Diceros bicornis minor: one gene and its partners. The protein of the gene in region 1 interacts with the protein of each later gene in a pairwise test. Links are inferred from orthologs where the notes say so. Each region holds a gene or a part of one and is shown in the gene's direction. Other genes may lie near its edges.

The links.
Region 2: the proteins of NUDT18 (region 1) and DHPS interact in binary tests that used the Homo sapiens proteins (3 or more experiments, as listed by UniProt). The two-hybrid records come from large-scale screens. The link is inferred for Diceros bicornis minor from reciprocal best matches to the Homo sapiens genes NUDT18 and DHPS.
Region 3: the proteins of NUDT18 (region 1) and DUT interact in binary tests that used the Homo sapiens proteins (3 or more experiments, as listed by UniProt). The two-hybrid records come from large-scale screens. The link is inferred for Diceros bicornis minor from reciprocal best matches to the Homo sapiens genes NUDT18 and DUT.
Region 4: the proteins of NUDT18 (region 1) and NT5C2 interact in binary tests that used the Homo sapiens proteins (3 or more experiments, as listed by UniProt). The two-hybrid records come from large-scale screens. The link is inferred for Diceros bicornis minor from reciprocal best matches to the Homo sapiens genes NUDT18 and NT5C2.

What each region holds. Positions count from the first base shown.
Region 1 is NC_080750.1:71,743,412-71,750,837, forward strand, and holds the start of NUDT18 (8-oxo-dGDP phosphatase NUDT18), read left to right. Parts: upstream 1-4,414; 5' UTR 4,415-4,425; coding exon 4,426-4,587; intron 4,588-5,538; coding exon 5,539-5,752; intron 5,753-5,987; coding exon 5,988-6,583; 3' UTR 6,584-7,426. UniProt on the Homo sapiens protein: Mediates the hydrolysis of oxidized nucleoside diphosphate derivatives. Hydrolyzes 8-oxo-7,8-dihydroguanine (8-oxo-Gua)-containing deoxyribo- and ribonucleoside diphosphates to the monophosphates. Hydrolyzes 8-oxo-dGDP and 8-oxo-GDP with the same efficiencies.
Region 2 is NC_080769.1:4,634,883-4,641,842, forward strand, and holds the start of DHPS (deoxyhypusine synthase), read left to right. Parts: upstream 1-3,955; 5' UTR 3,956-4,057; coding exon 4,058-4,264; intron 4,265-4,827; coding exon of another isoform or gene 4,828-4,881; coding exon 4,882-5,046; intron 5,047-5,279; coding exon 5,280-5,401; intron 5,402-5,485; coding exon 5,486-5,582; intron 5,583-5,671; coding exon 5,672-5,758; intron 5,759-6,060; coding exon 6,061-6,166; intron 6,167-6,244; coding exon 6,245-6,348; intron 6,349-6,960. Other genes in the region: GNG14 (putative guanine nucleotide-binding protein G(I)/G(S)/G(O) subunit gamma-14), read right to left, coding at 4,828-4,926. UniProt on the Homo sapiens protein: Catalyzes the NAD-dependent oxidative cleavage of spermidine and the subsequent transfer of the butylamine moiety of spermidine to the epsilon-amino group of a critical lysine residue of the eIF-5A precursor protein to form the intermediate deoxyhypusine residue.
Region 3 is NC_080744.1:44,889,649-44,897,104, forward strand, and holds the start of DUT (deoxyuridine 5'-triphosphate nucleotidohydrolase, mitochondrial), read left to right. Parts: upstream 1-4,445; 5' UTR 4,446-4,546; coding exon 4,547-4,701; intron 4,702-6,974; coding exon 6,975-7,066; intron 7,067-7,456. UniProt on the Homo sapiens protein: Catalyzes the cleavage of 2'-deoxyuridine 5'-triphosphate (dUTP) into 2'-deoxyuridine 5'-monophosphate (dUMP) and inorganic pyrophosphate and through its action efficiently prevents uracil misincorporation into DNA and at the same time provides dUMP, the substrate for de novo thymidylate biosynthesis.
Region 4 is NC_080745.1:68,104,751-68,112,747, reverse strand, and holds the start of NT5C2 (cytosolic purine 5'-nucleotidase), read left to right. Parts: upstream 1-4,988; 5' UTR 4,989-5,051; intron 5,052-7,997. UniProt on the Homo sapiens protein: Broad specificity cytosolic 5'-nucleotidase that catalyzes the dephosphorylation of 6-hydroxypurine nucleoside 5'-monophosphates.

The sequences.
Region 1 (7,426 bases):
ATCTCTCCTGTCGGACCTCACCTGGAGCACCCGGAGGGTGGCCCAAGAGAGCCCTTGCCCAGCCGTCTGCCCTCAGTGTCCCAGGCCCACCACCCCGCCCTGGACTGAACATGCTGCCCGACTGCTGCCAGCCCTTCCCCACCCCAGGGCCCTCTGGTGTGGCTCTGCCCGCTCCCCTGCCCTTGTCCATCTCAGCCCAGCACGCTCCGACCCTTGTTATACCCAATTGTTTCTGCGGTGGTTCAGGGGATGTTTTTTTATGAAATAAAATTTTTTATTATAAATGTAATATACTTTCAGAACATTCAGGAAATAAGAAAAAAATCACCTGTAAGCCCACTTCCACTCACCCCCAACCCAACCACTATTAGTATTTGGTGTACTTCCTTCTAGCATTTTCTCCAAGGAGCTGACTTACGCACAGTTGAGCCGGTGTGTTTGTACTTGGTTCTTCCTTTAACACTGTGTTGTGATCATTTGCTGTGTTGCTACCTGACTTTCATTTTAAACAGCTGCTTATATTCCATAAGTGGCTTTCCTGTGATTTATGTAATCATCCCCCATTAAAAAAAAAAAATTAGGTTTCTTCATTGTTTGCAAAGCTGGGTTATTTTCATTTTTTGATGGGATAGAAAAAAAAGAAAAAAGAAAAAATTAAGGACCTGCTACACTTCACCGTGCCGCTGTTTCCATCTAACTGATCTCCTTTCTCCCCTTATCATTATGTTGAGGTAGATACCATTTATTTCCATTTTACAGAAGAAGAAACAGTCAGGCAGGGATTAAGTGAGTCACCCAAGGTCACACAGCAATTTTAGTGGCAAAATTGGGATTTGGACCAAGTTTCCTGCGTCGAGCCACCTCATTTACAGTATCGTCTTCCTGCTTAATGGACTCTGCAGACGGGCCTGCTGGCCTCTCTGTCCTCCTCCTTCCAAAGGAGGCACTACACAGCTGGTCAGGTTCCAAGTGGCCCTGAGTGACCCATCCCTACCCACACTTCACCTTACAGAGCTATGTCCTGGTGTCACCCCAGAACTCCAAACATGGGGTCCTTCCTGTGGGAAGATGGGGATGGCCCAGTCACTGCACCTCTCTCTTCCCCACAAGACCTCTCTGCTGCCTCCCCTTGCATGGTGGGTCACAGCACCCTCGAGGGCACACTGCAAACATCAGGTGGACCAAATGTTCCAGGACTGGACCTGGTAATGAAGCCAGTCCCGGTGGGGACTGACCCTCAGGCTCAGCTTGGGGCACTTGGTGGCATTCTTCCTCATGGAGGCACGACTGGCTCCCCGCCGTCCAGCCTGCCCCTCGGGCCTCTGCTTCTCCCAGCACCCCCGCTGTCCACCTTCAGCTCCAGCCCCTCTCACCGGCCTGGATATCACAGAGGCGCATCCCTCAGAGCTAGACGTGACCTCAGGGTGGGTATGTCCAACGCTGCCTTCTTCTTATAAAGTACATTTTTTAGACCTTTTATTTAGAAATGATTTTAGATTTACAGTCAAATCACAAAGAAGTACAGAAGGTTCCCAATTACCCTTCATCCAGGTTCCTCTCCTGTTAACATCTTACATACCACAGCACAGAGATCAAAACTGAGACATTGATATCGATGCAACACTGTTAACTAGGCGAGGGACTTTACTGGGATTTCGCCAGTTTTCCACTCATGTCCTTGTCCTGTTTCAGGATCCACCAGTGCCTGCATTTTACAGATGGCCTAGAGGGTAGATGGGGTTCCCCCAAGGTCACTCACACAGCCAGCTTGTGGCGGCAGAGCGCAGGCTGAAGCTAGACTCCTTTCCCTTGCACATTGGGCTACTGCGCTCGTCACTCTTCCTGCTTCGTCAGGGGCCAGGGCTTGCTGCTCCGTAAGCGACTCCAGCTCACAGACACTTGTGCCTCATGCTGTCCGCCAGCCCCTGACCCTGTTCCCAAGGTTGCCTACACTGCCCTCCTGCACATGTGCTCACTCGCACACGCGTGTCCCCAGGCCCTGGCACGGCTGGCTCAGGCTTCGCTCCCGTGGGTGCTGGGAGTGGTACTGCGTGGTCCACCAGTTCAGCCACTCCTGTCCACCGCCTGCGCGGCCACCCCCAAAGCCAGTGCACGTCCCTCTCTGGGAATGGAGGACGCAGAGCAAACTTGACGGAGGCCTTCCTTTGTTTCTGGTTCTGGAGGTTTCTATCGCAGCTTCTCCCCACTCCAGCTTTTCCTGTTCTGTCTCAGGCACTCTTGTCTCAGTGTGGTATGTGTGATCCTCCACTGCCTTGAGAAGGTCTACTTTCTGTCGTCTCCCTCAGCGCTCCGGCAAAGGCTAGGCACACCCCTCGAGGCCCCTCTGCCTGTGCAGCCCTGCACAGTTTACAAGTGGCTTTCATGTCGCCTCATGTGCAGGATCACCACTTAAGAGAAGAGGAGCGCTTTTCCAGTGACGGGGGGAGTGGAGCCGCCGTTTATTGCCTCTTTGCTCTTCCGGGCAGGCAAGCTGTCTGCTGTTCATCTTAGGCTGCCTCTGAGGCTCTCAGAGCCCTGTCCAGACATGACCTCACTCCCTCTCAAATCATCCCCAGGAGGCAGAAAGGAGTCTGGGACCAATGCTGTCCCCACTTCACAGATGGGAAAACCGAGGGACACACACACACAGCAAATGCACTGACAAGTTGCTCTGCAGTCCTGCGGTCCTGACCTTCAGCCCTGTGAGTTCAGTTGTTTTGGGAGGTGAGAGGTGTTGGATAGGGTTGGAGTCAGCAATGTTCACCAAGTGCCTCAAAAGAGTGTCGGCCCACGGGGGATACCCCCAGCCTAATACCAGCCCTGCCTCCAGGGACTTGCAGTCAGTTCAGTACGTGAAAAGGGCCTGAAGGGGCTGACCCGGTGTGGCTGGAATTACTGAGAGTACAGTCTAGTTCCACGGCGGCCCTGCAGGCAGATTTCAAGAAAGTGGGTCTTTGTGTGGTAGCAACAAGTGCCGTGGCTAGAAAGGCCCAGCCTGGAGGGTTGCTGGGCTGCCTGGTGATGGACCCATGCTGGACAGTCCACAGAGCTCCTCCTGTGATGTCTCATCTTCCCAACAACCGTGGGAAGGAACAGCTGTTATGAACCTACTCTACAGATGAGGAAGCTGAGACCCACAACTTGCCCAGGGCACAGAGACAGCCAGGGAGCAGTTGCCAGGCAGCTGGCCCCAAGTCCAATGCTTTGCTCCACAAGCTGCTGTCCCCCAGAAGGGAGGTGCACAAAGCCAGAGAGAAATGAGGGACCTAACAGGATGAGAAAGCCAGACTTTGCTGGCTTAACAGTTTCACTCCAGCTGGCCCTGCCTTCCTGTCCTGAGCAGAGGTTAAAGGAAACTGCGGAGGAAAGGTCAGGCTGGGAGAGAAGCAGGAGCTCGCCAAAACAACCCACACCCTGCTCTCAATGCGCCAGGCCTGCAAACTAGGTGTAGGGGCAGCAAAGAGAAAGGAGCAGGACCGCCCTGCCCTACAAACGCTCTCAGCCCGCAGGGGAGAGGGCCCGAAAACTGCGTGGGAAATGCAGCGGGCAGGGGGCCGGAACACCGACGACGCAGGGCTGGGCCTGTGGATTCCAGGCCCTCTCTCTGCCCCAAATCCCCTCCTCCCATCGCCAGCCACACCCTGACCATCCCAGGCCCGCTCCTTCCCTCCTCTGAGCGCCTATCACACCCCTGCCCAAACCCATCGTTTAGCACTTGGCTTATTAACCCTCAGATGACTTTTTATTGTATGTCAAGGTCCACCTCCCCGACTAGATCAGAATCTCCTCTAAGGCAGAAGCTTGTCCTCCCTGTCACTGTGACATTGAGTACATTTTTGTGAAGGAAGAAGGTTATCTGAGAAGTGATCATTTCGGGCAATGCAGTGGTATGTTTAGGACAGAAGTTGGACAGCGGACCCAAGCCGCCGCCCCAGGCCTCCGCGACGTCATCGGGCTTGTGACGTCACTGTCGTTGGCCTCGGCGGCGCTCCGCAGCCTGCAGGCGGGATGACGTCACCGTCGGAACCGGTGCAGACGAGTGCGCGCTGGAAGAATCAGCGAGGCTGGCGGCTGGAGATGGCCGGGGAGGGAGCGGGTAGGGAGCGACCGACAGAAAGCAGAAGCCGAGCCGAGTCCACTCTCCCCGGGCCGCGCGCCTGCCCCACAGTACGGCCTGGCTCCGCCCCGCCCCGCCCGACGCGGGCCAGCCAATCCGGGCGGGCGGCGGACACGCGCAGCCTGTCAGCGGCGGGCTCGCGGGCGCTTCCGCGTTCGCCTACGCCGGCCTGCTCTCGGGGAGGGGGCGCGGGCGGCCGGCCGAGCGCTCGTCCACGTCCCGCCCCGCCCCGCCCCGCCCCGCCCCGCCCCGCCCCGCCCCGCCCGGCCGGCGGTCTGCAGGCCCGGGCGGCCGCTCCCAGGGGACCGATGGCTTCGGAGGGCCTGGCAGGGGCGCTGGCGGCGGTGCTGGCGGGCCGGGGCCTGCGCGTGCAGGGCTGTGACTCGGGGCCGGCCGGGGAGCCCCTGGCGCCGGCGCGGCTGCGGAAGAACGTCTGCTACGTGGTGCTGGCGGTGTTCCTCAATGAGCAGGTGAGCGTCCGCCGCCGGCCGCCGCCCGGGCCCCGCAGCGCGCAGCTCGCCGGCGGGCCAGAGGACCCCCCCCCCCCCCCCCCCCGGCCACGCCACCGCCTTCTCGTGGGTGGCGCTTCCCAGTTTTGCAAAGCACTCTCACTTACGCACACATCTTGTGAGGCCCAGCCCTGCGATTGTTCCCTTATACAGAGGAGGAAACTGAGGCCCGGAAGCCTTTTTGTCCCATCCCACTAGGCCTCAGTTCCTTGAGGGGAGGGCTGTCTTATTTTTATTCCTCTTCCTTTCCCCAGAATCTAGCGCAGTGCCCCCTGCGGAGTGGGCTCTCAAAGATCTGTCCAGTGCTTCAGAGACTCCCCTGGGTCCCATGGACAGTAATGGCACAACCCGCGCTTACGCTCAGACTTTCTGACCACCTTGTGATGCTCTTTTTGGTGCTGATCCCTGTACAAGTTGCTGGAACAACAAACAGCTAGACGGGGCCAGGGCCATAAGTAGGAGTTGTATGGGTAGGGGCTGGGGGCGCGTTCCAAAGGCTAGACCCCAGTGTGGGGACCAGCCGCAAGCAGTTTGTAAACCACGGGGGAGGTGAGAGATACACAGTGACACATGCAGACACAAATCTGTGCAGGACACATGGCAGCCTCACTGTGGGGCCTGATTCCCAGCCCCTGAAGCAGCTCCCAGGAGTCCCAGCCCCTTTCTGAGATGGAAGTCTGAATGCAAAGAGGGATGAATTGCAGAGAGAGACAGCTGCAGCTCCCAGCCACACAAGGGCCAGTCCCCTGGAGAACTCAACAATTTGAGGGTGTCCACTGGGAGGGGGTTATTGGGCGACTGTATCTGAGATACAATCCGGCCCCAGGGCAAGGGAAGGCTGCTGGCTGTGCTGCTCCTCTGGAATCCCCAGCCTGGCTGTGGTGGGGTTGAGGATCCTCTCTCTCCCCTCAGGATGAGGTGCTACTGATCCAGGAGGCCAAGAAAGAGTGCCGTGGGTCGTGGTACCTACCCGCAGGGAGAATGGAGCCCGGGGAGACCATCGTGGAGGCGCTGCAGCGGGAGGTGAAGGAGGAGGCCGGGCTGCACTGCGAGCCCCTGACATTGCTGTCTGTGGAGGAGCGGGGCACTGCCTGGATCCGCTTTGTGTTCCTCGCTCGCCCCACAGGTACGGCCCAACAGGGGGCAATTGACACCTTTCCCCCAGCATGTCTACCGGTGAGATGAGCCCCTATTCTGGCTGATAGAAGCCTGGCATCTCCAGATTCCAGCCTGAGGACTTGACTGGGCTCCCCGCTCCCCTGGGTCAGAGCTAGAATGCCTGGGTGGCATTTGCTCTGCCAGGCCCAGCACTTCTCTCAACATAGACCCTTCCCCCACCCCATGCCCCACATCTCCCCCAGGTGGAATTCTCAAAACTTCTGAGGAGGCAGATGCAGAATCCCTGCAGGCTGGCTGGTACCCACGAACCTCCCTGCCCACTCCGCTGCGGGCCCATGACATTCTGCACCTGGTAGAGCTAGCTGCCCAGTATCGCCAGCAAGCCAGGCATCCTCTTGTTCTGCCCCAAGAGCTTCCCTGCAGTCTGGTCTGCCAGCGGCTCGTGGCTACCTTTACCAGTGTCCAGACAGTGTGGGTGCTGGTGGGCACAGTGGGGATGCCTCACCTGCCCATCACTGCCTGTGGCTTCACCCCCATGGAGCAGAGAGGTGGCATCAAGATGGCTGTCCTGCGGCTGCTGCAGGAGTGTCTGACCCTGCACCACTTGGCAGTGGAGACCAAGGGGCTGCTTGGACTGCAGCACCTGGGAAAAGACCATACAGATGGCGTCTGCCTGGATGTGCTGGTGACAGTGGCTTTTCGCAATCCAGGCATCCAAAACGAGCCCCCGAAGGTGCGGGGTGAGAGCTTCTTTTGGTGGAAGGTGATGGAGGAAGACCTACAAAGCCAGCTCTTACAGAGGCTTCAGGAATCATCTGTCGTGCCAGTCAACAGATAGGAAGGTGCCGTCACTGGGCAAGGAGCTGGGCATCTGTGCTCCTCTCCGCCACGGCTTTGCCTCCCTCTGAGGAAGGCAGGAGGTTGGCAGTCAGGGATCTTGTTGCATTGGGAGCAGGGTAGTTCTCCTGGCTCTCAGGGGCACTTCCATCTCTCCTCACTGTGGAGCAGGTCCCTACATTGTACGAAAAGAGACAGTGCCTTTCACCAAGCAAGGAGTCCAGAGCTCAAGGACCCAATTGCCCTGAGGGCACTACTCCCTAAGGGGATGTGAGAACTTTCTGAACCTGAGATGGCATCTACTCATCATCTTCTGTGCCCACCCGCCTTGGTAAAGCTCCACATCTGGGGTCTCAGGCACTTAAGACATGGAGAGGATGCTGGGGGAGGTCTTTCCAAGGGAGTGGGCCCCTTGCTGAGTAAATAGGTGTTCCTTACTTTGCCTTCCCGCCTAAATGTCTCTGTGGGGAAGAAGTGAGCAGGCAGGGGTACTGAAAAGCTCCTCCCCTTGTCCCACCAACAGCTATTCAGGCCTTCCCAGGTGGCAAGCTGCCATGCAGGTGATGGGGCAGGCAGGCTTCCTGCCCCAGCCCCCTGCGGCTCCCTTCGTCTTGCCTGCCAAGGAGGGATGTGAGCACGTCCTCAGAGAAAACAGAACTCTAGTCCCTCCAAGGTTTGAGCAGTGAGGCCAGGAGAAGCTTCCAGTGGGCAAGGAGCGGTGAGAGCTGCCCCTGCCTCTCTGCTGGAGTCTCTCTCCTTGAGCTTCTCCCATGATCCCTTCCCAGTCACTCTGCCAGCCCCCAGGCTCCTGCTTCTGCCTTTCTACAACTCCAGCTCAAGCCAG
Region 2 (6,960 bases), on another chromosome or scaffold:
CTCAGTCCTCCTCCAGCGCCCCACTCTGACTCCCTCCCCGCACCGGCCCAGCCTCTCCAACTCCCTCCTCCCCTCCGCAGAGACTTTGAAGCCAGGACCTCATGGAGTGAAATGTCACCAGTGGTGGTGGCAGCAGCTGCCTCAGCCAAGGGGGTCTCTGCCGCAGGAGGCCCAGTGGCTGCCCTGGTGTCACGTGTCACCTTCCCCCGGGGAGTGCGGGACCCTGGCCTCCCACTCACCTGCTTGGTCCCCTGCTAACCTGCCCCAACACTCCTCCTTTGCCAGCCTCTGTCCCACCAGTGTGTGGAGTGGGCCCCGCCCCGGGCACAGCCCTGCCTCTCCTCTTCTCTCCCCTCACCTCCCTGGGGATCTCATCCGCAGACGGCGCAGTCTACTCGCCTATGCTGACGGCATCCTCTGCCCCTTCGCTCTCAAAGGAGAGTGGTGTCCAAATCACAATGGGCAGGGCCCGGTCCCTGACCTCAGAGCCACCCGAGGCCCCTCCTCCCTCCTCCATCCACCACACTCATCTCTCGGGCGACTCGCACCGAATTAGGCTAAAGCTGGGCTCCAGATGACCTCCCCCCAGACCCTCTGCCCCCAAATACACCACCACCACCCAACTGCCCTGGCCTAAATCTCCAACTCCTTCATTTCTCTCTCCAGTATCCCCACAGCTAGTCCTTTCTCAAGAGCCATCAATGGAAACTAGACTTTGGGTGGTGAACACTGTGCAGTCTATACAGAAGCTGAAATATAATGTACACCTGAAATTTACACAGTGTTCTAAACCAGTGTGACCTCAGTGAAAAAAAACCCATTAGATCAACCTTCAGATTAGGTTCTCAATCTAGTCACTTCTCTCGAGCCCTGTTGGTACCACCTTGGGCCCACCGCCCCACCCTCTCCGCTCCCCTGGACCAGAGCAATAGCCTCCGCCCTCGTCTCCCCTGTCCCGCCCACCCTTCCCCGTTCTCCTCAAGGCAGCCAGTGGCATCTGATAGAAAATAAATCACATCATAACATGGATGAAACTGGAAGACATTATGCTCAGTGAAATAAGCCAGAAACAAAATGACAGATAATATATGATTCCACTCATATGAAGTCGCTAGAGGGGTCACATGTGTAGCAACGAGAAGTAGAACGGTGGGTGCTGGGGAGAGGGGAACAGGTCATGTTTGAGGGGGACAGAGTTTCTGTCTGGGATGATGAAAAGTTCTGTGGATGGAGGCAGTTGCACAACAATGTGAATGTTCGAAATACCACTGAACCGTGCGCTTAAAAATGGTTATGGTGGTGAATTTTGTTATGTATATTTTACTGCAATAAAAAAAATTGGAAAAAAAAATCAGAGTCTCTCAGGCCCTTTTTAAACCTCTCCAGTGGTCTCCCAGCCACTTATTTATTTATTTATTTTTGTGAGGAAGACTAGCCCTGAGCTAACATCCAATGCCAATCCTCTTTTTTTTTTTGCTGAGGAAGATTGGCGCTGGGCTAACATCTGTGTCCATCTTCCTCTACCTTATATGGGACACTGCCACAGCATGGCTTGACAAGCAGTGCGTTGGTGCGCGCCCGGGATCCGAACCTGTGAACCCTGGGCCACCCCAGCGGAATGCATGCACTTAACCCCTGTGCCACCGGGCCGGCCCCTCCCAGCCACTTAGAATAAAGCCCACCCTCCTTACTACAGCCCCCAGGGTCCTGCATGGTCTGGCACCTTCTGCCTGGTCTGAATTCATTTCTTTGTTTTTTTCCTTGTGAGGAAGATCAGCCCTGAGCTAACATCTGTTGCCAATCCTCCTCTTTTTACTGAGGAAGACTGACCCTGAGCTAACATCCGTGCCCAACTTCCTCCACTTTATACGGGACGCTGCCACAGCATGGCCTGACAAGCGGTGCATCGGTGCGCGCCCGGGATCCGAACCTCGGGCCCCTGCAGTGGAGCGCGCGCACTTAACTGCTACGCCACCTGGCCGGCCCCTGAATTCATTTCTAACCAGCCTCTCCCTCCTTCATTCTTCCTGGATCACCCCGAGGCCCCTGTGTGCATTCATTCATTCGTTCAGTTATTCAGCGTATTTGCAAGATTCCAATATGTGCCCGGCACTGCAGAGTAAAAGAAATAGCAGTGAAGCCAGACCTAATCCTGCCCTCATGGGGCTGCCAGTCAGGGAGGGACGGACAACACCAAACACAACGTATGAAGTGCTATGAAAGACAACCAAAGCAAGGTAAGGGCGAGTGTGGGTGGTCAGGGCAGGCCTCCTGGAGGAGGTGACATTTGGACGGAGGCCCAGAGGAGGAGGAGGGGAAGCGGGTGTTCCAGGCAGAGAGAGCAGCAGGTGCCTCGTCCCTTGGTCAGGAAATAGCTTGTGGGTTCTAGAACAGCGAGGGGTCGGTGTAGCTGGAGAGGAGTGAGCGAGGGCAAGTGGTGGGAGATGAGGGCAGGGAAGGGAGTGCCCTCACAGGCCACAGTGAAGAGCCTGGAGTTTACTCCTAGCGGGAAGCCACCCTTAGAAGGTTTCAACAAGGAACGACACATCTGACTGCTGTTTCGCAAGCTCTCTGGACACAGCTGGGGAAGGGACTGGAGGGAAGGAAGCCCAGCGTGGAGGCCGTGGGGATGAAGAAAAGCACCTGGATGCAAATACAGAATCATCATGCTGTGCACCTGAAACTAAAATAATGTTCTGTCAATTATATCTTAATTTAAAAAAAAGAAGAAGAAAAGCACCTAGAACTTCTAGGTAAAACTTGGTGGACGTGTTGGGGGATGGATGTCATGTGCAGAAAGGGAGACATCAAACTCAACTCCCCAGTTTTCACCCTCGTAGATGAGTGGAGTGTAGGGCTATCTGCTGAGATGTGAAGACTCCAGGGAGATCAGGGTTAGGTGGAGAGAGAACTGAGATGGCGAGTTTGAGATCCAAGTGGATGTTCTGCTCCTTCAACTAAGTAGGCTCATTTCCAGCCTCAGGGCCTTTGCACTGGCTGTTCTCTCTCCCAATGGGGGGTGGCAGGGGAATGGCCTCCCCCAGATCTTCACATAGGGGCCTTTCTTGGCGCTCTGGCCTTGGCTTAAATGTCACCTCCTTGATATCCTTCCCCAACCACCTGTCCCTCCAACTAAGGCCACCAATCCCTCCATTCACCTCCACCCTCAAGACTCTACATCATCCTGTTTAAATTCGGAAAAGCAGTTACCACTGTTGTTAAATTTCTATTTCCCCAAACTGTAGGCCCCAGCGGGGCAGCGTCAGCACCTCATTCACTGCTAAACGGCAGCACCCAGCTCAGGGTCCAACGTATAGTACAGACTCCATAAATGTAGAGTGAGTGATTAATTGGGTCCCCTATGGACCAGATCCCGTGCACTGTTAGGAGGACCCATGAGATACACACCTCACCCCCAAGGATCTCAGTCTTGCTGGAGGGAAAGAGATGTCAGCCCTGGATCCCAGAAGAGATCCCTTACCCAGAGGAATGTCAGGGAAGGCTTCCCAAAGGAGGTGACAGCTGCAGCTGCCGGAAGAAGGAAGACCAGAGGGTTATGCCCCATGTCGAGGCCCTGGAGACGCGAGGCACGAACAGGGATCACTATTCCATTGACAAGAGGTGCTCAGAGGCAGAAACTCTCTGACACTGCCTGACGACTCAAATCCTGACCAAGGGCGATATCTAAGAACCCATCCTCTCTCCTGGAGGGGACAGAAAAGAACGGGCAAGCGCCGCGCAACGCGGTAGATCTCCAACAGGCGGCAGTAAAAGCAGGAATCTTCATTCATCTGAGGCTGAGAACACGCGAAAGAGGGAATCATGGCTCCTCGCGGCCTCCGTATTACGGAACATGAGCGCAAAGATGGCCGCCCCCTCAGGCTAAGGGCATCAGAGGGTCATGTGACTAGGCAACTTCCGATCCCTCTCCGCAGGTTTTCCAGAGCCCTACTTCCTGCGCTCTCGTGGAGAAGGGCGTGCCAGGGCTTAGTGCGTCTCGAGGCCGCCGGAGGCCCGGCCTGGGGCGGCTCTGATCGGGGAGTGCGATCGCAGGGGCATGGAGGGTCCCCAGGAGGGGAAGGCGCCTGCGGCGGCGCTGGCCGCCGTGCTGAAGCACAGCTCGGCTCTGCCGTCCGAGAGCGCCCAGGTCCGGGGCTACGACTTCAACCGCGGCGTGGACTACCGAGCGCTGCTGGAGGCCTTCGGCACCACTGGTTTCCAGGCCACCAACTTCGGGCGCGCGGTGCAGCAAGTCAACGCCATGGTGAGCCCTGGGGCGGGACTTTTTGGGTTGACGGGGGCGTGGCCTCCAGTAGCGCCAATGCTGTACTTGCAGGGGGCGGAGCTTCCACGGGAGAAGGAGGCGTGCCCTTCGCTGGGCTGTCCAGTAGTTGGAGAGGGGCGGGGCCTACCCTGGCGGGAGTTTCTGTGCTGGGGAGGGGGCGTTGCCCCCTAGTAGGTATATCCTAGTATCCGGAGGGTATGGAGACTGATTCTAGGTACCGGGCAGGTTTTAGGCAACGTGGGAAAGTGCTGTGGAGTGGGCGGAGCCTGGGACAAGACCGTGTGGTTGAGGGAGGAATTGGGGGAGGAGCCGAAATCAGGGCGGGGCCTGAGTTGGATTTGCTCTTCCCAGCGGGAAAGGGGGTCGGGTCTCCAAAGGTGATGCTCTCGGATTCCTGAAACGGGGCAAAGCCTGAGCGTGAGCCCTGAGATTCGGGCTGTGAAGGGGCGGAGCCTGCACAGGGGCGTTCATTCCCTGGTTCCTCGTAGACGTGGTCCTGTATCCCCTAGTGGGCAGGGCTTGGCGGCGGAGCTGAAACCCACCTGGAGTTTTTGGGCTGGACTTTGGAGTTCACTCGACCTTCTTCTGACACCTAGATAGAGAAGAAACTGGAGCCGCTGTCGCAGGATGAGGACCAGCATGCAGACCTGACCCAGAGCCGCCGCCCACTCACTGGCTGCACCATTTTCCTGGGCTACACTTCCAACCTCATCAGTTCAGGCATCCGTGAGACCATCCGTTACCTCGTGCAGCACAACATGGTGGGCACCCGGTGGGGCTGTGACCTTGGCCTCTTTGGGTCTTAATGGGCAGTAAGATTATTGGTCATTTAAGGGAGATAGGGAGATATGCGTCAGCAGAGGGACAGGATGGGGTTTTGCTTTGTGGCAGAGCACCTCCCAAGGGTCACTGGAGGGTTGGGAGTTAGGAGTCCTGCCCTGCATGAGGGCAGGGCTCCCCTTCCTGGGCCAACCTCACTGCCTTGTGGCTGCAGGTGGACGTCTTAGTGACTACAGCTGGGGGCGTGGAGGAGGATCTCATCAAGTGCCTGGCACCCACGTACCTGGGCGAGTTCAGCCTCAGGGGGAAGGAGCTACGTGAGAACGGGATCAACAGGTGGGGGGCGCCCTGAGTGGTGCTGGGTGTGGGAGCTGGGCTGAGGGTCCTGGGGCCTGACGCCCACATGCCTCCTGTCTCCAGGATCGGAAACCTGCTGGTGCCCAATGACAATTACTGCAAGTTTGAGGACTGGCTGATGCCCATTCTGGACCAGATGGTGTTGGAGCAGAACACAGAGGTGGGGCTGGAGCAACCGGGGGGGGGGGGGCGCTGGCATGGTGGGAGTCAGGGGAGGTGCTGCTGGCTGAAGCTGATGTCCCCTTCTAGGGTGTGAAGTGGACGCCTTCCAAGATGATCGCCCGGCTTGGCAAGGAGATCAACAACCCAGAGTCGGTGTATTACTGGGCCCAAAAGGTGAGGGGCTGGGTGAGGGCAAAGATGCCAGGCCTCGGCATGTGTGGTTTTATCTTGACAGCCATATGGGGAGTCAGTACTATTCTCATCATCCCCACTCTTAGATGAGGAACGTCAGACAGAGAGAGGTTAGGCAGTTTGTCTGAAGTCCCACAGCTCTCGAGTGTGGTCCTGGTATCCTGGCTCTACTCCCAGGCCACCTGGGAGCAGCCAGGGTGGTGCTTAGCAACCCCCATGTGGTGGGGACCAGGCTGCCTCCACCAGGCTCTGAGCTCCGGCCGCTGTCTTGTCCTGCCCTCCAGAACCACATCCCCGTGTTGAGCCCGGCGCTTACAGATGGCTCGCTAGGCGACATGATCTTCTTCCATTCCTACAAGAACCCAGGCCTGGTCCTGGACATTGTTGAGGGTGAGGCGCTGGGGCTGCAGAGGAGTGGGGGAGGAGGGTTGCTGGGCCCGCGGCCTGACCGCAGCCTTCTTCCCCCAGACCTGAAGCTCATCAACACACAGGCCATCTTCGCCAAGCGTTCCGGGATGATCATCCTGGGTGGGGGCGTGGTCAAGCACCACATCGCCAACGCCAACCTCATGGTGAGCGGGATGAGCGTGCGCCTGGTCCCCAGCGGGGGCGGTACGTGGCCCTGCCCTGCAGACATGCCCTTGCGTTCAGCCTGTGCCATGTCTCCACGGAGACAGCCGTGACTAGACAGGCCTGGATCCCTGCCCTCTTGGGACTGATGTTCTCGTCAGGGAGACAGACAGCAAACAAGTGACATGCACATCAGGTGGCAGTAACTGCTATGGAAAAAATGAAGGATGACGAGGTGGCAAGAGAAAGGGGTGCTGTTCAAAAACGAGCAGCTCTCCTGCGAAATGTGACCTGTGAGCAGAGGATTTCAGGAGGTGCCTCCCACGGGCCATGTGGTTATCTCGGGGATGAGCTCCCAGCAGAGGGAACAGCCAGCGTAGAGGCTCTGAGGTGCCCAAAGAAGGTCAAGCAACAGCTAGGGGTCCAGTGAAGAGGAGAATGGGAGGAGGTGAGATGGGGAGGTGACCCGCCTTGAGGGCTACTCAGGTGCTCACTGGCGCCCTCTGGCGGCTGTGGGGAAACAAATGGCGGGGCCATGTTGGGGAGAGGTGGTTAGGTTTGGAGGTCTTCTGATGACAGCCTTGGTGGTAGCTCCTGCTGAGTAGATGCAGGAC
Region 3 (7,456 bases), on another chromosome or scaffold:
AGTACATTTTAATTTATCTAAAACAATAGAATCAGAGAGTAAAAATTCTAAATTAGTAGAGGGAAAAGTGAAATAATAGAATTAATTAAAATAAAATTAATAATAAAACTATAAAATTTAAAAGAAGGCAAGAATGGGTAAAAAGAAATGCAGAACATCTGGAAAGAATCCAAATTAAGATAAAGTTAAGTCTATCATGGAGCTTACATGCTAGTGGAGGAAACATACAACTAACAAGCAAAACCAATAAATAAGTAATTTCATGTAGCAGTACATGCTGTGAAGAAAATCAAATAGGGTCAGGCATTAGGTGGCGCCTGGGAGAAGACTGTTTTCAGATAAGGGAAGATCTGAGAGAAAGAGAGAGGAAGCAAGACTCCAAGGTTTCTGTCTTGAGCAAGAAGAGAGGTTGAGAAGAGGAGACTGAGAAGAGGCAGTCAGTGAGGCAGGAGGAAAACCAGGGTGTGGGCTGCTGAAGAAGTGTTTCAACAAGGAGGGCATGATCAACTGGGAATCTAGGAATGCCTGGTTAATTTACGGCAAACATCTTTCCCAGACCTGAAGAACACAGCTGGCAGCAGGCTCAGTAGGCAGAAGAGTTACCATAGTCTCAACAAACACATATAAGCCTACAGACCAGAGTGGCTAAGTACAGGGAATCTGAAGCCAGACTACCTGAAGTTGAATGCTGACTCCATCTCTTTCTAGTTGTGAGCTGTGTGATCTTGGACAAATTATTTAAGCTCTCTGTGCTTTGGTTTCCCCATCTGTATAATGGGGATAATTTGGCACTTGTTTCCTCTGGTTGTTGTGATTAAATAAATTAGTATTTATAAAGCACTTAGAACACAGCTGGCATAAAGTAATCAACATGTCCTTGTTAAAAAAAGAGAGAGAAAAAGCCCTACAACGGCAAAGGTAGGAGCGACAACTTTGCTTGTAAAGTACCAACTTGCATTCTCAACAGGTTCAAGTTGGCAATAGTCTTACGTAATTGAACTAATCAGCATGACTGATACGATAATTATATTCTGATCAAGAAACAGCATGAAATAAACTATGGTTGGATTATGTCTAGTTCTTTTTTACTGTAGTATCTTGAATTTAAGGTATATTTTCATATCAAGTTATATTTCAATTGTCATAATGAATGTCCTATTAAATGCTTACTGGTTCAGAACTCTAACCTCTTACTCTTTTCCAGTTGGATTATGCCCTTTTCTCTTTTCAATCTAAAACAACCTCAGATGAAAAATAACAATAATAAACACTTTCTGTATCTACATTAACAGAAGAAATAGCTGAATACTTTATTGGTGCTAGACATTATAAGGATCCAAATAAATAATTTTTGTGTAAAACACTGAAGTAGGTGCTTTGAAGTATTCATAAAAGTTTATAACTCTTATTAACATGAGACAATTACACAATGGGAGTATATGGCTAATGAACGATATAGTAAGTGTTATAAGATAAGACAAGGCAGAGCTCACTACTGGTTGTAAAGGAGTTACATGAATGAAGTGAGATTTTTATCTGGGTCTGGGTAAATGGAGTCATTACTGTCATTACATTTTAAGATATGCAAGGACTCAATTTATCTATAAGGTGAACTTCCTTAGGAAACTACTAGAGAAAGCACTTCAGCAAAATGAGGGAGTAAACCAAGTTGAAGATACTAGATCCATAAAACCAGGGCTCCAATACAAGAGAGGGACAAAGGGAAGTCCCAGGATGACAGTAATTCAGCAGGACTGGAGGGTTACTGCACAGATTGGAGCAAAAGACTAGAGGAGAGAGGGAGGGGAAAAATGGAACTGATAGGGGTTTTGATGTGTTTCATTTGATGTGAGAGATGTTTGAGGTATTGGATCCATTGGAGCATTTGGAAAAAAACAAGCAATAGACGAATTAAAAACACCATCACTAACAAAGAAAAGGGAAAAACAAGGCAATTATTAACTTGAGGCAGACAAGTGTGAAAAAAGGAAATAATCATATCACATTACTTAATTCAGCAGTGAATGATATTTACAGTCATGATAAAGTAAATACTAACTGCCGACTTATCCAAAAACCATTACAAACAATTTGCAGAATGGGGTAGAGAGAGGGGTAAGAGGCTTAATCCTCAACTACTCTAATTCAGAAGATAATTTCTATGCCCTTTTTTTAAAAAAAGCAACATATAATTTAGAAACAGGGAGGTAAATTCCAGTAGAAAGAGCCAAAGAAAGTTGGAAGTATTGCTCCTGAGGAGTGAGACTTCGGGTAGGGCAGTGATGGAGTGGTAGGGCAGGGACTGCTGTGTTTCATTGTAGGCCTTGAAAAAGCATTATATAGAAAAAACCTTTGATTAAAAATTAAAGGAGTGGACAGAAAAATCAAGACTTTGAAAAGCAATCATATACAGGGGCCTAGTGGAATAGGCAATAAGAACTCTATCATTCATTCACATAACAAATATTTATCAGGCACCATTCTAAGCCAGGCACTAAGCTAGGCCCCAGGAATACAACGGTGAATGAAGACCTATACGGTCCCTACCGTCATGGAGCTAATGTCTACTAGAGCAAACAGACAATGAACAAGAAAATAAATACATAAAGGAAGCACAGATTGTAGTAATAAGCGGTGTGAACAGAAAAAAATTAATTATTGTGATGGAAAATGGTGGTGAGGGGAAGACAGGGCAGCTACTTCAGTTAAATACAGGGAAGGCCTTTCTGAGATGAGCTGAGACTTGAAACACATGGAGCTTACACCAAGGAAGGATGTGTATAGACTCCTAGGCAGCAAAGTCTGGTGGGTCTAGAAACTTAGATGGCTCTAGATGAGGTTGGAGAAGTAGCAGGGCCCAGATCATATCGCTACAGAAACAAATTTGGGGAGTCCTTAAGGTATAGATAATATTTAAAGCCATGTGTAAATAGAGCATAACCCATAACCTCATCTAGAGGAATTCTAACATGTAAGAGTAAGAGACTGAAAAGGTGGGGCCTGAAAGGAAAGGCACAGCAAGGAAGTCTAAAAACTTCCCCAACAATTCCCTAACATTTTTGTCACTTTTCTAAAACTGCCCTATAGGTTGTTATTTAGATAAAGTGCATTACAATTTAGTTTCCAGAGTTTTGCGTCAGTTCTGGAGATACTTATATCCTGGAAAAACCAATTTACAATTATCTAGAAAGTTATTTCCTCTTCTCCACTTGAAGTTATACCAGCGTGGCCCAGCATCTTTGTCCGAATCATAGCCACGGGGTCACCCTCTGTGCTTCTGTGGGGTGATCCGAAATAGTGCTAGGATTTCAACCGAGTTGTCATCGCGGTTATCCGGAAGACGCTACCCCCCCGCCCCACTTTAAGAGTAAACAATACACCGTATTGCAGTGTCGGTGTAGTAAGGAAATGGAACAGGTTGCCATGCCCGCTGCCTAGGGCGGAGCACGGAGCGCAGTGCCTGTCACCGGCAACGTGATGCGGTTCCGCTGCTTTGGGGAACCCAAAGATTAGAATCTGGGGAGTCATGGCGGCGGGCGGCGCTGCGCCAGGTAAATCAGCAGAGGGGCAGGGCCCGGGTCTCGCGGGTAGTCTCAGAAAACGGGGGCCAGAAAACAGATGGGAGTCCAGGGAGGGAGGGAGGGAGGGAGGCAGAGGCAGCCGGAGGCGGCGGCGAGATTCGGGACACAAAGCGCCCTCCCGGAGGCCCGGCCTGCTCCGGTCCGAGGGCGGCCGACGCACCGCCTCCGCGCGCCCCCGGGCGTCGGCCGTTACTGCTTCCGAGGTCACTTCACCCGGGCACGTCTTTGGGACGCAGACACGCCACGCGCCTGCAGCAGGGGACGAGCCAACCAGCTGGCAAACCTCGAGGCGAATGACGCCGCTCCGTCTATTGCTCCGCTCAGTGTTTACAGACGCGCGCGGGGCACGGCCGAGAGCCCAGGAAGCTTGGCTCTCCCGGCCAGGCCCGCCCGTCGCCCCCGCCTCGCTGCTCGGGGCGCCCCGGCCGCCGTCCAGCGCTCGCAGCCGGAGCCGAGGCTGCCGCGGTGCCAGTAACATTGGGGCCCGGGCTGGAGGAACACAATGCCAGGGCGTGGGGAGGCTGCGACCGCGGCCGCTGTCCCCGCGCCTGCCTCGAGCTCTGGGAGGGGGCGGGCGACAGAGCGGACCCGCCCCGCGCTTGGGCGATGGGGAAGCTGGGAGGGCGCGCAGCCCATAGGGCGCGGGAGCCGGTCCATTCGGGCTCCCTCAGGGGGCTGGGGGGTTTCTATGGTGTGTGTTTGGGGGGGCACCCAAGCTGCCCCCCTGCGTTGGACCCGTGCGCTGAGTTTGGAAAGGTTAAAAAGGCTCGGTAGTTTCCCACCCAAAATCTGCTTTCTGAGAAGGGTTTCCAGCCCCTAATTTGAATCCCGCCTCCCCTCTCAGCCACAACTGTGGGTTCGTCCAAGAGGCGGTTGGGGGTGGGGCGAGAGTTACTGGCGCGAAATTTAAAGGTTTGTGTGTTCCCGCGGTTGTGCTCACGCTGCGCTCTCTTGTTCCCTTTGCTATGCCCTGCTCTGAAGAGGCCCGCGCCATCACCCCCAGCAAGCGGGCCCGGCCTGCAGAGGGGAGCGGCATGCGGCTCCGGTTTACCCGACTCTCGGAGCATGCCACTGCCCCGACCAAGGGGTCCGCGCGGGCCGCCGGCTATGACCTGTACAGGTGAGTAAGGCCCGCCGGCCGCCTGCGCCCCCCAGGGAGGCCAGCCTGGTGAAGAGGCTGAGAGGGCCGCCTTCTGCCCCTGCCATCCCTGCCCCCCGCGGGAACGCCCAATTCCCGAGTTACAGAGCTCTCAGCCCTGTTAGCTTACTTTCAGGCCCTCTGCAGCCACAACTTGAAACATTCTCTTCAAAGGTGACAGAAACAAACGCTTTTTGCATGTATGCAGGGTTTCTGCCCTTTTTTTGTATAGATAATTTTAGCTTGCCTCCAGCATAAATTCATTAGGGATTTGGGCAAAAAGTGTGGAATGGTAAATAAATACCGATAAATGTCCACTGAGGCGTTATTAGTTTTGCAGCATTCATTGTACCCTTTCCACGTGGAGGGCGGAGATGAGTAAGGCCCGCCTTGGCCTTCAAGGACTGGCCTGACCGTGATGCTGTGCCCAATAGAAAGAAAAGCCACGGTGGGACCCTGGGGGCTGAGTGAAAATACCTCAGAAGGAGTAATGAGGGCTGATTCTGCCTTAAAGGGTTAGTGACATTTCTGTAACTGTCCATATTCAAGTTCGCCCCAAGGACTGGGAATTTCAGGAAGGGTCCAAATATGAAAAGCAGAGGTGTTGGTAATACTACCACCCTTTCGTTTGTACGGCACCTTTTCCTGTACTAAGAACTTTCCCATATACCATTTTATTTAATTCTCCCCACAATCCTGAGGTATATGAGTGTTGCTTACTTTTTACAGATTAGGGAGTTTGGGAAAAGCTGAATTGATTGCCCAAGGGCTTGAATGTAGTAGAGGTTTTTTTTGTTTTGTTCTTTTTGGTGAGGAAGATCAGCCCTGAGCTAACATCCATCACCAATCCTCCTCTTTTTGCTGAGGAAGATTGGCCCTGAGCTAACATCTGTGCCCATCTTCCTCTACTTTATATGGGACGCCGCCACAGCATGGCTTGACAAGCGGTGCATCGGTGTGCGCCCAGGATCCGAACCTGCAAATCCTCGGGCCGCCGCAGCAGAGCGCCCACACCTAACCGCTGCACCACCAGGCCGGCCCCTGAGATAGAGTTTTTGACTCTGAATTCAATGCTTTTTTCTCTTGACTACTGTGCCCGGTTCTTAGATGCATCAAGGTAGGTGAAAAGTGATAATGGAGGGAGAGGACGTTTATTACATGACTAAATCCCGAGTGTTAGGGTGTATTTTAAAGCATCCTAGGTAATTCTAATGTGAGAACTACTGGTCTAAGTCATAAGTACAGGAGAAGGGGAGAAAGGAGTGTGATGATAGTAAGGGAGACAAGAAAGAGAAAATTGAGATACAGGCTGTTGTAGCTGAAAGGGATATAGTTCAGTCCCTTAATTTTCATGAATAAACGTAGCGTGATGTAACTTGATTACACCATATCTGGGCACTTTTGTGAGTCTTAGGATCCTGAGACTTCGATTTAAGGTGCTTTAAGCATCCTCCTAATAAAACACAGGTGCCTTTCTGTATACTGAAATAGACATGGAAATAGGTATTTTTAAATCTTTAAATTTGATCTTTTTAAAAAATTAGGTTTAACTACTTGGAGAAAATTCTAACAAAATAAGTAAAAATATAGTACCGCTTTTACTAGTCTTAATTAGGGTCTCCACAGTAACTTCCAGTTCTGCTTTTTGTAAAATCTCTTACATTTCTGTCAAGGAGGGGGCTACAGTAATAGCAACAGTAGCAGCATTGGCTGGGTGGACCTTAGAGAATTGGTTCCTCAGCAGTGTCCATCTCCAGTGATTCAGTGATCGCCTCTCTTCCTCAGCCAGTGAGGTTCATGGGCACAGCGTGGTAAGCTTGGGAAACTACCAGACCAGCAGAGCAGATGCAACACAGCTCTCCCTCCCCTTATGTTGTCCACCCATTTTCCCCTTTCCTTCTCCACATTTTCCCTAATCGCTTAGAGGATTGTGAGAATGAAATGAGTTATAGAAAGCAGTTAGGGCTGTGCCTGGCAGGCACATGGTCAGGGCTTAATGAATGTTAGCTATTATTAACAATTATTTACACTCTTTCTTGGTTCTTTATCTCCCTCTTTTCATACCATGCTGGTGAAACATACACCTTTTAAAAGTCTGCCTTTCTACCCTCTCCTGCTAAATAATTACCTCAATTTCCCAAGAAAATTTTGTTCGGGGGAGAATACATTTATGTGTTAACACCTTGTTCACCCAAAAAATTCACAGAGAATTGCTGTAGCTAACTACCAGTTATTTTCTTTCACTGTCTTCCTAGTGCCTATGATTATACAGTACCACCTATGGAGAAAGCCCTTGTGAAAACCGACATTCAGATAGCTCTTCCCTCTGGGTGTTACGGAAGAGTAGGTAAGTGATTTAAGACACAGGTACCTATTTGTCAGGCTCTTCCTTGGTGATATGCTCCTTCATCGTAGTTTCATTTGGGGTGTAAATGAGGGAAGGGATATCTCTCGGCCTGTGTCCTAAAATAAAGAATTGCCATCTGATGGCGAATGCAGCCGTTTGAAAACTTTCATTTATGTATCTGCTTTTGCCTGTCTCTTTGCTTTTTTTTCTGATTCCTTACTTGAGCTTTTAGGAGCTCACATTGGCCTAGGAGGTTGTTCTCACAACTCCTCACTGTGAGAAAGACTGAAAATATAGGCGATTTTTAACGGGAGCTTTGTTTGCAGTGTTACTGCCATCTTGCACTTCAAGGATCGGATTGCATATGAAGTCAGATTTCTTTGTGAAGAT
Region 4 (7,997 bases), on another chromosome or scaffold:
GATCTGGCCCTGCCTCCTTCTGGGACCATTTTTTGCCACTTTCTCTCTTTCTTTGTCGCTTCTGATCATTCTGCAGACACACAAAACTCATCTCTACTTTAGGCCCTTCGTACCTACTGGTCCCTCTTTCAGGAATTCTCCACTCTACCAAGCAAGTCCGTCTCTCACTTTTTTGCTTAAGTCCTACTCATCCTTCAGGTCTCAGCTGAGATGTTGTTTTCTCAGGGAAATGTTTCTTGACCCTCTCCCTACCCCTAAACCCATCCCCTATTTCGTTCTCCCTCATAGCATCTTTTACTTTTCCTGCATAGCACTTACCAAAATTGTGGTAAAATAATTTTTTTGTGTATTTAAAGCCCATCTTCCCAAGTAGTCAGAAACCTCCAGGAAAGCAGAAACTCATCTCTCTGTTGATCAGGGTTAGGCACATGGTGGGAGCTCAGTGCATAATTTTGAAGAGATGTAGGTACTCCTGAGTCTTGCGTGGATGTCCTGCCTCTCAAGTTTGACTAGATGTTTCTAGCTAGACGAGATGTTTTCTGGTTAACTGTCTCCTCGCATAGTGCCTGTACTGGGCTCCTATCACAGTTAAGTGCTGACCCTATGCTGTTAGAGAAAGAGAGATGAAAAAGAGAGGAGACCTCTGAGGGGGCTGATTGGAACTCAGATTGCACACTTCCTCGGAGAAAGATTTCTGGGCAGCAGGAGGCTATTTCTAGGCCCCAGGCCAGGGTGTTGAGAAATGCTTTCATTTTTCTGAGAGCTGCTGCCAGGAAGCAGAAAACTGATGAGTGACCTGTGAATGCTGCTCACATTCTGGGTGACTCAGAGTTTATGGTATTCTGGGGAAAACAGTGTTGATCAGAGGGATAGAACATCCATGTAGGGGCTTGGGCAAGAAGTCTGGTGAGAGGCCATCGAAAACCACAGTGGGATGGCCTCTCTTGCCATGCAATGCTGGGGCCGTTCAGCCTGAGTCAAGTTAGAGACCCCAAGCAAGCCCCTCATGGCTCCTCATTGTTTCCTCAGGCTCCCCAACCCTCTCTTAGAAGGTTGTTTCATAGCTGGCATGGCTTGTCTTACCCCTGAAAGTCATGAGGCCAAGTGTCCTATCCTTTTCTTTCTTTTGCATTTAAAAAAAATAATATTTTGTTATAAAAGCAATACATGAATACATTTATCTTCTAAAACATTAAAACTAAAGCTAATACTTCCTTTAAACATCACCCCCAATCTCAGTCCTTTATCCCTATCTTTAGAGATAATCTTTGATATGAGTTGGCATATAGCCTTACAATCTGTTTAAAAAATCTTTTACAAACTTAATGTGTGATTGTCTTAGTTCAGGCTGCCGTAACAGAATTCCATAGACTGGGTGGCCTATAAACAACAGAAATTTATTTCTCACAGTTCTAGAGGCTGGGAAGTCCAAGAGCAAGACACCAGCAGGTGAGGTGTCAGGTGAGGGCCTGCTTCCTGGTTCAGAGACAGCCGTCTTCTTACTATGTCCTCACAGGGCGGAAAGGGCTAGGATGCTCTCTGGGGTCTCTTTTATAAGGGCGCTAATTCCATTTATGAGGGCTCTGCCCTCATGACATAATCACCTCCCAAAAGCCCAACCTCCAAGTACCATCACACTGGGGATTAAGTTTCAACATATGAATTTAGAGGGAACATAAACATTATCTATAGCAGTGATAATAGGAAATAGTGGTATTTATGTCTGTGTTTTAACTTTTTACTTTGAAATAATTTTAGATTTACAGAAGAGTTGCAAAGATAGTATAGAGAGTTTCAGTATATCCTGCTCTCAGTCTCTCCTAATGTTAACAGCTTCTATAAGCCTAGTTCAATAATCAAAACTAAAAAATTAACATTGGTACAATACTATTAACTAAACTAGACTTCATTAGAACTTTACCAGTTTTTCCACTAATGTCTTTTTTCTGTTCCAGGATCACATCCAGGATCCCACATTGCATTTAGTTGTCTTGTCTCCTTAGTCTCCTCTGATCTGTGACGGTTCTCAGTCTTTCCTTGACTTTCAAGACCTTGACACTTTTGAAGAATCCAAGTTAGGTATTTTGTAGAATATCTCTCAATTTGGGTTTGTCTGATGATTTTTCGTGATTAGACTGAAGTTATGCATTTTGGGGAAGAATTTTTTTAAAATATCAAGACTATCTATATAGATCTATATAGATCTATATAGATATATAGATATATATATCATGCTGAAACTTGCTGTTTTCATTCAACAATATGATTTTGAGATAGATCTACATGAACATATAGATCAAGGTCACTTCTTTTAAAATCTCCACAGAATTCTATTATATGAGTATTCTACATTTTATTTAGCCATTCCTCTATTGGTGAGTATTCAGGCTGATTCCAAATTTTCTGTTAGCAATATTGTAGTAATTAACCTTGTACATACCTCCATATGCACATGGAGTTATGGTAGATAACTATAAGTGGCATTGCTGAGACATGGATTTAATAGATGTTGTCCAATTGCCCTCTAAACCTGCTGTGCCACTTTACATTCTTTTGATATTATTAAGCTTGAAAATTGTTGCCAATCTCAGTTTTAATTTTCATTTCCCTGGTTAATACTGAGGTTGGTCATCTTTTTGTGTGTTTATTGGCAATTTGTATTTCCTTTTCTATGAACTGCCTGTTTATATTTTTGCCTATTTTTCTAGTGGAGTTTTTTTTCCTCATTGATTTGTTGAGTCCTTTATATGTTCCAGATACAAATCCTTTGTTTTATATATTACAAATGTTTTTTCCTAGTCTGTTATCTCTTTTTTTTTTTTTAAAGATTTTATTTATTTATTTTTTCCCCCAGAGCCCCAGCAGATAGTTGTATGTCATAGCTGCACATCCTTCTAGTTGCTGTATGTGGGACGCGGCCTCAGCATGGCCGGAGAAGCGGTGCGTCGGTGCACGCCCGGGATCCGAACCCGGGCCGCCAGCAGCGGAGCGCGTGCACTTAACCGCTAAGCCACCGGGGCGGCCCTGTTATCTCTTAACTTTGTTTCCGATTGTTTTCTTTGTTCTATCTCTCAGATTTTTTGAATTATTTTTTTCTGACTTATTTTTTTGAAACAAAGTTCATGATTATAAAAGTAATATAAACAATGTAGAAACTCTGGGAAATTTATGGAAAAGTATAAAGAAGAAAAGAAACCACCCCAAGTCTGATCACTGAGAGAAAACCACTATTAACATACTCAGTACATATTCCCTTCTAGTCTTTTGTGTGTGCATGCACATTTTTGTGCTCAGTTGAGATCACACTGCATACATATATATATTATTTGCTCAGTGCCATGGTCTTTAGAAACAAACCTTGGCCTTTTCCCAAATGCACTTGGTTTAAAGGTGATGTTAGACTAACTTCCAACTCCTATTCCTTTTTTCCACATATCCTGAAAAATGTAGTACGTGAGAGGCCCATGGCCTGTCCTCTACTGACCTGAACTGAAGTTGGCTCAAAAACACAAGAGAGAGTACAAATGCTCCAGCAGAGCACTTATTAAAAAGTCTTAGAGGGGCTGGCCTGGTGGCGTAGCGGTTAAGTTCACGCACTCCCCTTCAGCAGCCCAGGGTTCGCCGGTTGGGATCCTGGGCGTGGACCTACTCACTGCTCATCAAGCCACGCTGAGATGGCGTCCCACATAAAAGAGCTACAACTCTACAACTATGATATACAACTATGTACTGGGGCATTGAGGAGAAAAAAGGAAAAAAAGAGGAAGATTGGCAACAGATGTTAGCACAGGGCCAATCTTCCTCAAAAAATAAAAGTCTTGGAGGTTTTAGTTGACTGCAAGCTCAATGAATCAATAGTGCCAAGGTGCCAAGAACCTTAGTGCATGAATGCAAGGCAATAAGTCCTATAAGGAGGAAGCTACAGTCCTGCTTTGCTCTGATGGTACCACAAACATTTGGTTCAGTCTTGGGTGACATACTCTAAAGGAGCCACAATCAAACCAACTAGGTACTTGAGGAGAATGAGGACAAAGACCCTCAAAACCAGGGCAAAGGAGGAACAATGGAAGGAATGGGAGATACTGGTCTCAAATAAGAGAAGACCTTAGGCAGAAGTCAAGTATCTGAAAAGTAGAAGTTGGAAGAGACATTAGACCTGGTTGTTCTCTGAGGCTCCAAGGGATAGGACTTGGGCCAGAGAGGGGAAGCTTCAGAAACACTTGCTAACTCGTCAGAAGCTGCTGAGACCAAGGAATGCATTGCTTCGTAAATAGTGGGCTTTCTGTCACTGAGGAGTCTTCTTTTAGACAGGAGTTGGTGGCGGGTGGGTGCCGGGTCCATACAGTAACTAACATTTATTGAGTACTATGTGCCAGGACTGTGCTGAGGACCTTCCCTCTATTTTATTTCATCCTGTCAACACTCTATGGGGTAGGAATTGGGTAGAATGAGGTCAGGTAACCTGCCTAAGGTCACACAATTTGTGAGTGGCAGAACTGGGATTCGAATCCGTTCTGACAAACTCCAAAGCCAGTACTTTCAGTCATCAATGGGATTCATGCGTCGTATGGGGGTCTGGACCAGAAGGGCCTTGAGGTCCGTTCGACTAGAAGATTCTGTGACTCGGAAAAATGATGTCCCCACCCCGCTAAGGGAAAGCGTCGGAGTGTAGGCGGAGAAGCAAGCGCGGTGAGGTAGTAACGGGCCTCGCGGAGGGGCCCGGGCAGGAGGCCAAGGGATGGAGACTTAAAGGACACGGAAGGGTTGTCAACGTGCGTCACCCCACAGCTCGACAACAACCGATGTTCTGTTGTTTGAAGATCCTCGCGCGAGGGACCGAGACGCAGGCCTGTATCGCGGCTCCCTTCTGGTAGCGCAGCCAGGGAGTGTCGCGGCGGCAGGGTTCTGCGGCGGAGCCGGGGGACGGAACGGCGCGCCGATCCCTGGCCGGGCGCGAGCGGGGGGCGGCGCCGGGGTGGCGGGGGCGGGGAAGGCGCGCGCCGGCGGCTGCGGCAGTTGCGCGCTGGGATTGCTGCCGTGCGGCGGGGTCGGTGAGTGCGGCGGGCCCTGCGGGTGGGGTGGAAGGAGCGGGCGAGCGAACGAGGGAGGGAGGGTGCGCGGCCGAGCGCGCGACCTGGGCAGGGGCCGCGGCCTGTCCCCGCTGCGGCCCCACCCGGCTGCTGCGCCCCTCAGGCCCCTCTCCTCCCTCCGGGCGCGTACCTGCGCGCCCGCGGACTCCGCGCCCGCGTCTCTGCACGCCCCGGGTCGCCCCCGCCTCAGAGCAGCCCCTTCCTGCGCGCCGCGGCGACGCCCCCAGCCCCACGTCACGCCCCCGCCATTGTTTCCCGCTGTGGGCTCGCTGGGACCCGCCTCATCCTAGGAACGCGGCCCTTCGCCTCCGCAGAGCCAGCCTCGCCGCGTTCCGCCCATTCCCCCGCCTTTCTCTTACGCTGGGGCAGCCCCCCTCCCGCCTCAGGCGGACACCCCTTTACTGAGGTCTGCGTGTTTTTTTCCGGCCGACTGCGGGCTTCCTGCGCTCCGCACCCGGGGCCCGCCTTTCTGCCCCTCCCATGGGCCTCCCCACCCCCTGCGTGTTCCCGGTACAGCGTGAGGAACTAGCGGGCGGCTGTGGTAGGATGCAACGGTGACAGCGGTTTAGCAGGAGCCACAGGAAATTGCCAACTTGATAGCCCACATGCCAGTTTTGTGTTTTCAGCGCTTTCTGGAAAACTCACGTGGAATTGCAAGCCTCACCCAAAAACCTGCTTGTTATTTCCAAATGGCTCTCGAGCTGACAGGGGTCAGCTGTCTGGTGGCAGTCTATTCCTTCCCTTTCCTTCTCCTGGGGACCCCTGAAGCCGGTGAGAGCCGAGAGTGATGCAGATCTGAGGCCTGAACCATTAGTTGTAAACAGAACGTTTGAGGGGTTTGACTCCGGTAGAGGTCAGCTCGGTGTCAGATTTAGTTTTCCCGTGCGTGTGTTGCGGGATGTAGGTAGAGTACAGCGCTCTGCAATGACTAGTCACCATTCTAGGGTAGTGTGTATGCGCGCGCATATGCGGGTCCGGATGCGGACAGGTTCTTCTGGATTGAACTGTACTTGTTTTATAACGTCTACACACTGTTCATTATGCTTCTTAAAGCAGCGGATGCAAACTCTGCTAACTGTAATGTGAAAGGGAGAATACTGAAACCATGGAAACGTAATGTTATTGAGGTCTTTTTAAATATTTGCCGCGACACTTCAACAATAGTTAGAATTTATCCAGATGAAGACATCCAGGCCTGAAGAGGTTAAGTTTAAGAAGACACAGCTAGTTAGTGGTTAGAACTCCACATGTTGGGTTGATGTTAACACACACAGACTTTATTTCTGAAATGCACTTCCATTGCAGTATAAGCCACTACTTTTCAGCAGTATAGGTTGGCGCATTTACTCTCGGTAATCTAAAATTTAGATTTTTGGAATTTAGTAATCAACTAATCTGTTAAATGAAAGGGCTGAAGGAGATGTTCTGCAACGTTTCATTCAGTTCTAAGATTTGATTCCGTTGTATGAAAATTTGCAATCAGCTACGAGTTTCCAAAAGTTTATAGTTGGAAGATTTATAGATATTTACGTATGGTATCTGCGAGCCGTGGTGGTGACATCAGGTGTATCTTCCTAAAGAAAGCCAAATTACAGTGGAATATTGAGGAGGGATGTCCATTCATCTGTTTCTAGTCTGTTTCTACTCTTTTATGGGGGAAGAAAGGAGCACACAAGACATGGTTTATGAAAAATAACTTCTTTTTATTCCTCAACTCGCTTACCAAAAAGCTTAAGTTAATGAAATTGTAAAAAAAAAAAAAAACAAAAAAAAACCCGACCTAATCATATTGTATTTATGACTGTGCTCTTTTCCAGTTCTTATCTAACCATAATTTTTATGTAGTTATAATTGCTGTTTAAAATTAACAACATATTGTTTTTAGTTTTGCACTTACCCACATTTCTGGAATGTTCATGTATCTAGAGAATTCATCTACTTTTCATTTGTAGAGACTGTGTAACATGCTTTTATGTCCAGTAGTCAACAATGCCTGGCACACAGGTCCTCAGTAAATTTTAGTTGAATGAATGTAGTATTTTGAACTACTTAGACAACATCTACAAACACAAAATGTTAAATATCACAGAGCATATGTTAAGTGACATGTGAGCAGTAAAGGCAGTCAGTCTTTGAGCCAGGAGACAGCATCACATATGTTTAAGGGCCTAGGTTTTGGAGTCTGGGTTTGGTTTGAGACCTGGCTTGCCACTTAACCATCCATGCAACCTTGGAGAACTTAACCGTAACTTAGAGAGTCTCATTCAGTTTCTCTCACCATGAAAAAGGGGAAAATAGAACACATTTCACGAGGTTGTGTGGATTAAATGGGATAATTCCGTTGAAGCACTACTGGCATATCTTAAGTTCTCTATAAATGTTAGCTATTACTGCTTTTGGTTCAGAGTGGAGAGATTACTGTATGTTGTGGGATCAGGGAAAACATAGAGAAGGTGACACTTCAGAGTAGGGAGAAGATGTGAAAGTGCGTATGTTGCGAGTTTAATGAATAGATTGCTCTCACTAAAACAAAGGGTTTGGTAGAGCCAATCGTGTGAGATAAAGCTAGGGAGAGTAATTCTGGTAAACTGTGTACAAGATATGCTACAGATAGAGCAGAATTAATGAAGTAAGATAGCTTTTTGTTTTTGAGTAGTTGGTGTTTGTTTTGTTTGTTTTTTAGGTTCAGACCTGAAAAATTATTGGCTTTAAAGAAGTTGATAGCAAATTGTTATGGAGTGCTAAGGTGTTTGTCATTTGACACAGTAAATCTTATGACTTTTTACCATTTGCAGTTCGATTGTGTTCTATGATTGGTTACCAAAGTTTGCAGTGGCTGTTTCTCCTTTTTTCTTTTCTTTTTATGGAAAACAACTTTAGCAGCAAACGAATAAAAATAGCAAAATT